Tribolium castaneum: one gene and its partners. The main gene of each other region encodes a partner of the protein of the gene in region 2 in a complex. Links are inferred from orthologs where the notes say so. Each region holds a gene or a part of one and is shown on either strand. Other genes may lie near its edges.

Region 1 (3,011 bases), on a different chromosome or scaffold from region 2:
ACGCAGTGACAAAAAGGTGGGCAAAAAGTGAGTCTAAATTGGGGTGCTAATCTTTGTTCGATTTGCAGATTGCACAAAGAGCTTATGACTTTGATGATGTCCGAAGACAAGAGCATCTCGGCGTTTCCCGAGGGCGACAACCTGTTCAAGTGGGTAGGTACCATAATGGGGCCCAAAGACACGGTTTATGAGAGTTTAAAATATAAACTAAGTTTACAATTCCCGAACTCGTACCCCTACGCGGCCCCCGTAGTAAAATTCATCACGCCTTGCTTTCACCCCAACGTCGACACCAGTGGGAACATCTGCTTAGATATTTTAAAAGAGAAGTGGTCGGCGCTTTATGACGTTAGAACAATTTTGTTATCAATTCAGGCCTTGTTAGGGGAACCAAACACGAGGAGTCCGCTGAACACGACGGCCGCCGACAAGTGGAAGAAAAAAGAAGAGTACAAAAAGCTGGTGTTAGAGTCGTACAAGGAAGTCTAAATTTGATCTCGCATTAGAAAAATTTCAGTTATTTAAGATGTCATTGTGTAATAATAGACTGCGTACATATTTGTGTTATATAATTTTTACTATTTCTCGTGTGTTATGATTGAATAAAACGATCAAGTTTCAATAATTTATTTACATAAATAAATATTTGGCTTAGCGAATAAAAATACGTTATCACGACTAGGATTTCACGATAATCAAGGTAAAAAATAAAATAATTGTGGTTACAGCCAATACAAGGATCGCGCACATCTTGCGGTTTTTCCGCTGATAAGCGTCTGCCTTTTGCAGCTGTTTGAAGCCTTCGTAGACCTGGATCTGCGTCTGTTCCACGTTGTAGTCAATTCTGTCCAGAACTGTCCCCTGGTCGGCGACCATCTGACTGAGATCTTTGAAAATTTCGTTCAAGTCAACAATGGACTTAACAATTGCGTTCACTTCTTGCTCCCGCTCTTGCGCGAACCGCGTGTTTTCCTCCTCCAGCAACAGCAGTTGTTGCTGGCTCATCTGCTTGGAATTAACGAAGTAGGTATCAATGTCATCCGCCTCCCTGTTGTACAAATCCTCGTCTTCGAGTTGGTTATCAAAGTAGATTTTTGCGCGGTCTTCCCGCGACTGAATTTGCCTCAAATAATTATTCTGTGTTGACCTAAACATTGTGGACAATTCCTGGAGCGCACTTGCCAGCGAGTGATAAACATTGATCGTCAATCTTTGTTCTTTCATTGGCCCTGAAATAACAAACTCAAACACACGACGCACTAATCAAATTATCACCTTCGGAAGAGTGGCTTTTAATAATCTGCACTAATCTGTGCGTTTCGTTGAACATCCGCGTTATTTCTTGCGTGCAATTCTCTATGGCGATTTCGTCGGTGGGGCTTTCGTCGAAAGTAGGCCTGTTCAGGAGGCGCGAATGCAGCATTTTCAGTTCGTTAATCTTAGCTTTGAGTTTGGGCAAAATCATTTGTGCCTTCTCCAAATAGTCGATCCACATGGGGGGCATCCTGTTGTCGTTGCGGTCCCCCAGGCCCTCCTCCATGTCGTTGAGGGACACCAGGTGCATCCGCTCCGAATTGTCCTGCACATTTTGCTCAAAAGTCGGTGTGTTTAACCGTGCTAATTACCTGGTCGGGGTATATGTGGCGGCTGCGGACCGCATTATTCCGCATCAGTAAAAAAACATCAGTCAGACTTCGGGACGCCATCGAATCGTTTGCAAAACCACCGATTAGGATAAAAACATATTTTGCGGTGTGATAAGTTATCACCACCTGTCAAATCACATCTGTTACGTTTGTGAGGTTATATCACGCTGTTTATAACAATGGGTAAATAAATAAATTAAGAGGGAATTTCGAAGCAATGTTGCGATACGACTCAGGTGGAGGGTCAGTGTGTGGTTGTGTAACACGTGCGTAATTAGATAAATTTAATTGCGATTGTGTACTGACGTTAGAAAAATTACGTCAGGGGATAAATTCCCTAATGGCTAGAAAAATGGTTTGACGTTTGGTTTTCAATTTTTCGCATGTTATTCAAGAATGAGGGGTTAAAGGACAACGTGATGATTCATCTGCGTCCAAACAATGGATTATAAAATTTGGCTAATTGGTACGTATGCCAAAAATCTAATATTTTCACAGTGATAACCTCAGTCAATATTAGCTTTCCAATGAACAAGTAGCTCAACCACCAGTGTGATGTTCAATGCCTCGAAGAAGAGTTATTCAATCGTGAATAATGACAATAATTTATCAAACGAAGATGTACTCCCCCACGACCGACGTAGTGGACCAACTGCCCTCAGTGGACCGAGTGACCAACTGGGACATTGCTGGCTTTGTCATATCTATAATAAGCCACATTCTGGACGTGATTTTCGACTGTAACATTGCCTACCGATATTACGTCCACCAACAATTCGCCTATTTCTTCACCACTCTGGGGTTCATACTCGTCCCAGCCTTTGTAAATACTGTCTTCAGTATCAGGATGTACATGCTAGATAAAGATAGTGATAGGAGCGCAACTCTGACTGATAAATTTACCAAAAGGAGATTATGCTGTTTCGCTGTGTTGATATTTCAATTAGCGCCAGTCTTGCGATACTTTGATGCCTTGCAATACGCCATCAAATCAAAGAAAGCCGAAAAGAACAAGGACCAGGAGAATCAGCGGAAGTACTACGAACTTATGGTCAAAGAAGACTCGGATGTCGCCCTGTTGAGGGTCCTTGAGTGCTTCCTTGAAGCGGCCCCCCAACAAATCTTACAACTCGCAATTATTTTCAGTACAAATAGCAACGATCAGGACAGCTTAGACAACAGTGATACTTTTACCTGTAAGTTGATAATTTGCACAAATGATAAAACAATCACTCGTTTCTAGTGGTCCATCAATTGTTATCAATTGGTAGTTCGTTTGTTAGTATGGCGTGGTCAATGGCCTCTTATCAGAGACTGTTACGTGTCTCTCTCAAAAACAAAAACAACATCTCATGGCCAGGGACA
Region 2 (4,319 bases):
TTTTGAAAATTGATGATATTGTAAGTTGTTTTTTTTAAGGTTGAACTATACTGACGCAAAATTTGAAATAAGATTTTAAAGAAAAGTAATAATAATTGTATAATAATTTTATAGCGTGAAGTTTTAATATTGAAGACCGAAACGAAGTTGAGGGCTTTAATAAATAAAAAAATATAAAACTTGTTACTTGACCACCGGTAAAATGAAACGAATCTGTTAATTGTAAAAAAGGCTATTTTGTTTATTTTTTTTTAACTGGATAATGTGCCCAGTATAGTCCTACCTACCATAAGTACAAAATTTTAAACAATGTTTTGTCTTTTCCAGGTGAACACGATGACATAGATCTTTTCTAAATTGCTTCATTTAATTTTTTTGTTAAGTACGATCATTTGTAACAAAATTAGTATTATTACAAAAATAACAATATTGTGGATTCGTTTAAGCATTGTTTTATTTAGATAAGAATAAACAAATGGTTAAAGTTTTTTTTCCTATAATAAAATATCTACAGTAACAATAAATATGTGTAACTCTATTTAAATTTCCAAATTACTCCTTATTCTTCAACTGCTTTAAAATCTGTTCAGATACAACTTTTGTAGCTTTATCGGCATTGGGTATAAGAAATCGATCCATGTCAGATATAATTAAATTCTCACCATCTGGCACGCCATACTTGAAAGTGATAAGTTCAGGATGACGTTTCCTCGCTGTTATTTTAACAATCGCCGACAGGGGGCGTTTTACAATAACTTCAGCAATGCCACCTTTCCTATCGGGCATTTCTCTAAGTACTATAAGCTCACTGTTAGTCACAATCAAGTGACTTTTGTACATAAAACCATTGATTTTCACCTCCTGACACGGAAAATGTTCAATAACTTCGGGATGTTTCAACCATGATTGTATTTGTACCAATTCGCGACATTCTTCATTAGTTGCATCTTCCATGTTATTGGTGGTAGCATTTTCATGATCATCATCTATACTAAAAACAGGTGCCACATTTCGGTACCTTTTCCCGATTTTGTCGCTACTGCTAACATGTCTCTCTTGCACGGGACTATTGTTGGGATTAACGATATAATCGATAAGTTTTTCTTTAACTTCGGCCGATTTCGATTTCATTGCTGCTGAAATTTTCCCAAACAAATCGGTCGATTGTCCCTTGACTTGACCTTGCTGTTGTTGTTGTTGTTGTTGCATTGGGCCACACACAATGCAAAGTTTGGGATTATGATCTTGTAAAAACTCTAAATCATCCGAAAAGTAATGATGAAGAGCACAATAACCTCCTGTTAGAAGTGAAACGTATTGAGTGTGCTTCTGTAGGAAAGAAGCCACAACCATATGAGTGTATTGATCTTCTTCGTTACGACCTGATCCCAAAAAACACAAATGTTCACCACCTGCTGTAGAATTATGTGCCAGAGCTTGTTTTTGCGCCGAAAGTAAGCCTTGAACAGCAGTATTAAAAGCACTTGGTTCTTGAAGCATTAAGTTACAGTCCAAGTGAAAAGCTGTAGGTAAATGACCGGCATTGTACTGTTCCACAGGTCGACAATCAACTAGGAAAAATCTTACAGCGTCTATATTTCCACTCTCATTGGACGTATTTTCAACTAGTTCGCTTACGGAAACTGGGAGACATAACGCTTGAGAGACTACAGCATCATTTGTGCCATTATACAAGTTTTGCATTAAATCGGTCCGAAAACTAACGGGTGTTTTAAGGGCATAATATTGGGCCAAGGAACAAAAATCACCAACGTCTTCAGCCTCAAGAGCACACGGCATGTTCGTCAAATTCGAAATAATTACATCTCGAGATTCGCTTTTCATTGAAATGATTTGCTCGCGTGCGTTTATTACCATGATTAACGAGAGGAAAAAAATGAAAAACGGGTCAGACTGTTGAAAATAATAGTCCCACATGTTTATGACGACTTGTAAATTACAAGTGGCTGCGAAAAGTGACTGGAACCATGTCAGACAATATTTATCAGGTGTGATACGTTTAGTGTCAAGAAATGAACACAATTCTGGATCGTGATAGAGCAATAAAAGACGCAAAATATGGAAAGCGTTGCCGTCATTTGTGTGACAATTTTGAGGCACGTAAGTGTCTCTAATTGCCTCAAACAGGTTGTAAGTGGTTGAACGATTCACTTTCAGTGTTAGCAAAGGGAGCAGAAGCTCAATCCAGCCGTTGTTTTTAATATAAGTCAAGTTGCGACTTTTGCAATAAAATGTTAAAATCGATTCTAAATCGGATACAACGGATAATTTATCCTCTTCGTCATTGCCGAGTTTTGAAACGAAATTTCGACAGTCTTCTCGTAGCACAGATTGATTAGGCAAATCATAGATTTCGTTAAAGTGATCGAGTTGGTTCCCCTTGTCTCTTACGTCGAGACATATCTAAAAAAAATACGACACATTATTTATGACGAGCAAAATGATTGGTATGTTGCTAACCTGCCAGACTTCAGCTCGTAAATTGTCAGGTAAAGGTTTGCCTTTGCAAATACAGTAAATATCAGCAACTGAACATTCTTCCAGTAAAGCGCTTTCTAAATCAGCCACCCTATAATAAAATAATAACTAAAGTAAATAAATGACACTGCACAGGCGAGACTTGGTTTCGTTTTACAACAACAAAAAATTGAGGCAACTTTATTATGCTTGAAAACTTACCATCCGTTGTCGTCATCAACACTTGCCATTTTCACATATTAAAGAAAAAATAAGCGACGAAAAAGAGGAAAATACCACATCAACGTGTCAAAAAGTGACATTCAAAACAGCAGATGATAAGAGGGATTGGCAGCCATGGGTACCAGAAAGTTTTAAGTATGGCGGATATTTTAAAATTTATATCCCATTTCAGCAGTTCTTAGAATTTTGCAAAAGCGCATTTGATTTTTTTTGTAGTGACATGGAGCAAAAATTGAAAGTTTTGGTGGGGTTTTTTAGCCCTTTATTTAGTTTAACACATAATTCCTTTCTTTCTTTACAGTGTTACAAAAATTTTGGATTCAATATTTGTTTGGTATTAGAAATATGGGTAGCATATTTTCCAAACAATATGTTAATTAAAAGGATTTCTTGAATAAACGTTATGTTGTATTTGTGTTTTATTTAAAAGGACCGCCAAAAATAAAACAATGAGAAGATGAACGGAGATAAATCAATAAAAATATAAACAAAGTGTTTTGGGGCTATGGAAATGGTGACTTCAGGATTACAAGCCGCCACTCCGACAGATTTATCTGAGTCTCCTTCCGGACCTCTTCGAAAGAAGACAAGGATATTCAGCGATTTTAGAACCCTGATGGACTGTAAGTGGGAAGATTCTCACTACGAGAAAGTAAAGGTAATGGCAATTAGCCCCTTTGCACAAGTAGAGGAAGTTGCTCCGGTGATTATTAGATCGAGGGAGCAAAAAGAGGAGGGGGCACTGCTGCGATTACTTAGTCAGCGGTGCCCACGGTACAGACAAAATGTGCTAAAAGGAGAGAACCCTATAAATGCCATGGTAGTAACCATTAAGCCAACAGTTGCGCTGGGACTCAACGCAGTGAGCGAAACTCCAGAAGATAGCTAGCTATATGTTTGTAATAGCTGCTGAAGAGATGGAGAAGGCAACTGGTTCATTTCCGAGAACATACGATGCTCTCCTGAAGCTGAAGGATAGAGTAAAAGAATTTGGAATTCCAAAAATTGCAGTGGCATGTGACTCGACATGCAGAGTAGAGCACCAAAGACAGATGTTAGAATATGTTTTCAAGGTGGAAGATGTGGAGGTTGTCTCCACATCATGTCATACTCAAATTCTTGAGTCTAATTTTGCTTTTATCTGCAATTTTCTTTTTTTTTTAAAACAAAGTTGGAGAACGTAAAATCCTATGCAAAATGATCCGGGGAATCGATTGGCATCGAGAAAATTGCCAAATTCCCAATGGTTTTTTAGTTATGAATTTTTAAAAATTTTCCCAATTTTTGCATTTGTCTCCAATTTGCTCGAAAACTATTAGTCGGAGAACAATATTTTTTTTTGAAAAAGATAGATAATTTAAAGAGCTTTCCAACGATAATACACTTCATGGGGTTATCTCTGATAGTTCCGGAGCTATTGCTTGACAAAAGTTCCGGGTACCCAAAATCGACAAAAACTGCGACGAAAATTGAAAAATCAAACTTCTAAAAATCGAACATATGGACTTTTTGTGGACTAAAAACAACTTTTTTGGGTTGTTAAGACATGTAGAAGTCCATAAAAATTTACTGGAGTGAGTTTAAAAAAAATTTTTTTT
Region 3 (4,417 bases), on a different chromosome or scaffold from region 2:
AACATCAAACAGGGGAATCCCAAAATGGCAATCTAACAAAGTCCAAACCTATTCACACGTTAGCCAACAACACATAAAAAAAATACCAACCTCGCCTCGATTTTCGTCGGGTTTTTTCATTTCTTCGCTTTTTAGCGAAAACATGTTGATGTTTTCGTCGATTGGTGATAGAAGACCATCAATTGAAACGCTGTGTTTCATCTTTTGTTCTAATTCGTCCAATTCTTGACGTAGGAGTTCCGAACATTCCTTACTTGTGAAACCATTGGCTGGTGATGACGAAGTGGGCGGAGTTATGGCAAAATGTGATTCGTCGGGTGAACTCAACTCTTTAGTGAAACTAAAATTCTCATTGGTGATTGATAAAGGCTCGGCCTTGCCTTTGGTGGACGCGATTGGTTGTTTTTTGCCAAGTTTGACTGTCATTTCTTTATTTTGACAGCCGAAATCTAATACTCCAATGTTGGCAAACGTGATGTAACCACAATTGTGTTCAAGGTCAATTAAATTCGAGAGATATTTAACTGAGGGATGATTCCGGAATTGTAAGTCTTGAGGGACTTCCCCTAAACTTTTGGAAGGTGTGTCGGGACGAAAGGGAAACGGAATTATGTGAGTCTGAGCCGGTTCATGAACCCCAAAAGCCTGAATCAATACGGGGGAAAATTGCGCAGCCGCATTCACATGTAAAATATTCGAAACGGTTATAACCGCCGGTTCGTGTAACCACGTGGTTACCAAAAGCCGGGAATACCCGAGGAACATACGCGGAAGTTGCTTGATTTCAGTTCCTAGGGACAAAAATAGTGTTACCAGAAACAAAAAAATCCCCCTCACCTTTGGTTAGTAACAAAGATGGCGGTCCATAACCGCTCACGTGATACAAAAACATTTTAAACCACAACGAATTCACTTCGGGGACTGCTGGCCCTAAATGAGGCGGATTTAGACTCACAACTGGCCGTACTTCCCGGCTTAACGGTGCCATTGATACCAACAAACTGGAAAAAAATCCCTAAAATATGTACGAAATACCACGAAAAAATTACTTGTATTTTTTCTGTAAAAGTCGGCTACAAGTAGCCTCGTCTAATGAATGGAGACTTTCAAGTCGTACCAAATCCAAACCAGAGCCGGGGAGTTTTCTCAAAGCCAAAATCGTGGATCTGAGAATGACAGCATGATCGAAGAAACGTCGCGCTTCACCTTCACCTTCAGCATCAAGAACTGATACTTTCTCAAGTTCGGTTAAAAAACTATCAAGACTTTCGTCGCACAATTTACCAACTTCAAACATGGTCACGGCGTGTTTTTTTAAGCCCTAAAAGTCACAACCTACCTCAAATTTAGTTTTATTTAATCCGGTTTTTGTAGTTTTTTGACGTAACGGTTGGTGAGAGTGTCTCTTTTGACAGTGAAAACTTTACCTACCGGTGATAAATTTCCCATCATTAGGAAAGCAGTCAAGGCCGAATCGAAGAGAAAAGCCACTCGATGCCCCTTTCGGGTCAAGGTCGAAGGACTTTCGGGTTGCTCTTGGAGATTATCACTGAGACTCAAGGTCAGTGGTGTCACTTCAACGTTTCTTCAAATCATACAATCATAGAATCATTTGCAATTTAGTGAAAAATAAGTACCTAATTTCTTGTGTTGGTATTAAATGCCACGTTGGGTGTCTTTTGACACGTTCTTTGTCAGTTTCGGGATGCAATTTTCGTGCAAATTGTAAGCGACAATAGAGTGAAACTGCCTGTTTTACCGACTCAGTATCCACCTGTAAAACCCCGGCAAGTTCGCCAACTGTCGTATGTTCGTCAATTGACACGAATATTTTATACAACAGTGTTTCAAAATAATCACCAAGGACACGATTCATTACAAAACCTTGCAAAGGCGGCACTTGTATACAATCAACTGCGGTTATAGGAACGTCCAAATAAATCAAACCTTTCCTGGAATTAACAGTTGGTGACATTGTTTTACGTAAAGGGGGAATTACTTGTAAAGACTCAAAACAACATGATAGTTTAATTCGCCCGCAGTTTGTGACCCCAAATCAATTAAACGGTCAATCACCGCCAACTCTTCCTCATTCACCAACTGTAAAAAAATTAAATTACTGAATGTGTAATTATTAAAAGTGACAAACTTTGACGTCTTCTTCCAATACAAGGCCAACTTCGACCCTCCACCACGGCTCAATGTGTATGTCTTTGGGGACGGGTGGTAGGAGCCCCCTTACATTTTTTTTCCCAAACAAGCGCCCTCTATTCGACCTCGACTTATTCATCAATTCGATGTATTCATTTCTGCCAATCCCCAATAACCTCAAACCTGAAAAACACCAAATGAGGGAAACACGCCCCAAAATAAATTCGCGGGAAGTACAATCTGCTGCCGTAAAGTTCGGAAGAGTATCGTAACTTTTCTCAGCTTGCATCAATTTCTCAACCACTGAAATGTAGTAATTGAACGGCGTTATCCGCAAACCTTTGACAATCATATCGGCCAAGTGGTAGGGGAATAACATGAGTCTCTCTTTACTGTAAGCCACCACACGTTCGTAGTAACGTTTCTCATCTCGGACGATGTGTCGTACTGGAACAAAGACAATCAAGGGGGCTCACACACACCCCAAAGACACTCACCTAAATTTCCGCGATAGCGCAACTGGTTTTTAATACTGAACGAGACCACGTAGCGTTCGTAGTCTTTGACCGAATTGTTTAAAATCTGGAAAACGGGGGGTCATTTGTCGCAACTAAAAACCAAACTACCTGTTTGATATGTGCGGGGAGTTGAGACCATGGCACGTTTTTACGGATATTTTCCTCGATTTCGGCATTCATGCTGGTAAATGGGTTAATTTGTTGTTGATAAACCCATTTGACAAGTGACAGTCAGTAATGACAGGTGTCACAATTGCACAGTTTTGCTGTTTTTACGCGATTTTGGCATGAATTGGGCAAGAAAGCGTGTTTTTTTTTTAAATAAATTAATGTAATGCTGCTTAATTAATTTTTTTGCGTTGTTTAATCAAGAAAAAGTGTGAGCTGGCAGGGCTACCAACAAGTGTCTCTAACCACACACTTTTTGACACTGGCATGTGCAAAAAGTGGGGTTGGACCAGTTTGTAAAAAGTGCTAATAATCATGGAATTGGGGGGCGAATTGTCCCAAAAACACGTCCTGTGTCGCTTCAAGTCCGATTCAGGCGAAATCACCGGCGACATCATCGACTTGCCCTTGTCTTGTACTGTGTCCCAGTTGACTGAAATTTGCAATGCTCTCCTCGAAACCACAAATTCGTACATTTTTTACGCCAACGACACCGAAATCACACATTCGCTCGAAAAAACCTTAAACTTGTCGGACTTGAACACCGAAACCGTCATCGACATCCTCTACCAGCAACAAGCCGTGTTCCGAGTGCGTCCCGTGACAAGATGTACAAGTTCAATGCCAGGCCATGCCGAAGCTGTCATTTCCGTGAGTTTTTCCCCCGATGGTAGACACCTAGCGAGTGGTTCTGGCGATACAACCGTTCGGTTCTGGGACGTGGACACCCAGACACCTTTTAAGACATGTAAAGGGCACACGAACTGGGTGTTGTGCATTGCGTGGGCCCCCAATGGGCGTAAACTAGCTTCGGCGTGTAAAGACGGCAAGGTGGTGGTATGGAACCCCGAAAATGGGGCCCAGATTGGTAAAACTCTAATTGGGCATAAATCATGGGTCACGGCCCTGAGTTGGGAACCCTACCACCAAAACGCCGAGTGTCGCTTTCTAGCCTCGGCGAGTAAAGATTGTGACGTCAGGATTTGGGATACGGTCCTGTGTTCTTGTACTAGGGTTATTTCTGGGCATTTGAAAAGTGTGACTGTGGTCAAGTGGGGCGGTCTGGGGCTCCTTTATACGGCTTCGCAGGACCGGACTGTTAAAGTTTGGAGGGCTAAAGACGGTGTGTTGTGTCGTACGTTAGAAGGGCACGGTCATTGGGTCAACACTTTGGCCCTCAACACTGATTATATCCTCAAATTGGGGGCGTTTGACCCAGTCAAAGACACCCAAATCCAATCACAAGACTTCGTCCTGCGTCGTTACAACGAAATCGTTAACCCTATCGGTGATGAAAGACTCGTCTCGGGCTCCGATGATTTCACTTTGTTTTTGTGGGCCCCCTCAAAAGACAAGAAGCCGTTAAATCGGCTCACGGGGCACCAACAATTAGTTAACGATGTGAAATTTTCACCAGATGGTCGCATTTTTGCCTCGGCTTCGTTTGATAAGAGTATTAAATTATGGGAGGCCAAAAGTGGTAAATTTATTTGTACGTTAAGGGGGCACGTACAGGCTGTTTATGTGATTTCGTTTTCGGCCGATTCTAGACTTTTAGTGAGTGGAAGTGCCGATTCAAC

The links.
Region 1: the proteins of TBC1D23 (region 2) and Syx16 are in contact, whole or in part, in a crystal structure (PDB 8QQF), measured with the Homo sapiens proteins. The link is inferred for Tribolium castaneum from reciprocal best matches to the Homo sapiens genes TBC1D23 and STX16. Residues at the interface, in NP_001186127.1 of Homo sapiens: Leu638, Asn639, Ser640, Val641, Val642, Lys643, Ile644, Thr645, Ser646, Lys647, Lys648, Ser661, Ser662, Ala663, Ile666, Thr683, Lys687, Ile690, Met691; in NP_001001433.1 of Homo sapiens: Asp209, Asp210, Asn211, Thr212, Leu213, Tyr214, His215, Arg216, Phe218, Thr219, Glu220.
Region 3: the proteins of TBC1D23 (region 2) and protein FAM91A1 are in contact, whole or in part, in a crystal structure (PDB 8JJ9), measured with the Homo sapiens proteins. The link is inferred for Tribolium castaneum from reciprocal best matches to the Homo sapiens genes TBC1D23 and FAM91A1. Residues at the interface, in NP_001186127.1 of Homo sapiens: Arg533, His534, Val535, Ser536, Ser537, Asp539, Val541, Gly542, Lys543, Pro544, Tyr545, Arg546, Val548, Pro550, Val551, Phe552; in NP_659400.3 of Homo sapiens: Arg49, Glu60, Arg61, Tyr64, Asp84, Ile85, Lys88, Gly89, Leu90, Arg91, Ile92, Thr93, Phe95, Ser96, Ile159, Pro161, Tyr176, Ile177, Thr178, Glu179, Asp181, Ile182, Lys190, Asp194, Ile197, Asp198, Tyr216, Asn217, Lys218, Gly219.

What each region holds. Positions count from the first base shown.
Region 1 is NC_087396.1:11,855,685-11,858,695, reverse strand, and holds Syx16 (syntaxin-16), read right to left. Parts: upstream 1,761-3,011; 5' UTR 1,707-1,760; coding exon 1,626-1,706; intron 1,580-1,625; coding exon 1,276-1,579; intron 1,230-1,275; coding exon 679-1,229; 3' UTR 612-678; downstream 1-611. Other genes in the region: vih (ubiquitin-conjugating enzyme E2 C), read left to right, coding at 1-16, 69-489; XK-related protein 6, read left to right, coding at 2,242-2,842, 2,890-3,011. UniProt on the Homo sapiens protein: SNARE involved in vesicular transport from the late endosomes to the trans-Golgi network.
Region 2 is NC_087402.1:71,407-75,725, reverse strand, and holds TBC1D23 (TBC1 domain family member 23), read right to left. Parts: upstream 2,860-4,319; 5' UTR 2,730-2,859; coding exon 2,701-2,729; intron 2,608-2,700; coding exon of another isoform or gene 2,591-2,607; coding exon 2,482-2,590; intron 2,425-2,481; coding exon 553-2,424; 3' UTR 437-552; downstream 1-436. Other genes in the region: CCT4 (T-complex protein 1 subunit delta), read left to right, coding at 1-20, 328-345. UniProt on the Homo sapiens protein: Putative Rab GTPase-activating protein which plays a role in vesicular trafficking. Involved in endosome-to-Golgi trafficking.
Region 3 is NC_087400.1:99,442-103,858, reverse strand, and holds the start of protein FAM91A1, read right to left. Parts: upstream 2,918-4,417; 5' UTR 2,850-2,917; coding exon 2,778-2,849; intron 2,734-2,777; coding exon 2,649-2,733; intron 2,599-2,648; coding exon 2,389-2,598; intron 2,335-2,388; coding exon 2,150-2,334; intron 2,101-2,149; coding exon 2,000-2,100; intron 1,953-1,999; coding exon 1,638-1,952; intron 1,586-1,637; coding exon 1,432-1,585; intron 1,322-1,431; coding exon 1,050-1,321; intron 1,002-1,049; coding exon 838-1,001; intron 792-837; coding exon 91-791; intron 49-90; coding exon 1-48. Other genes in the region: Nle (notchless), read left to right, coding at 3,153-4,417. UniProt on the Homo sapiens protein: As component of the WDR11 complex acts together with TBC1D23 to facilitate the golgin-mediated capture of vesicles generated using AP-1.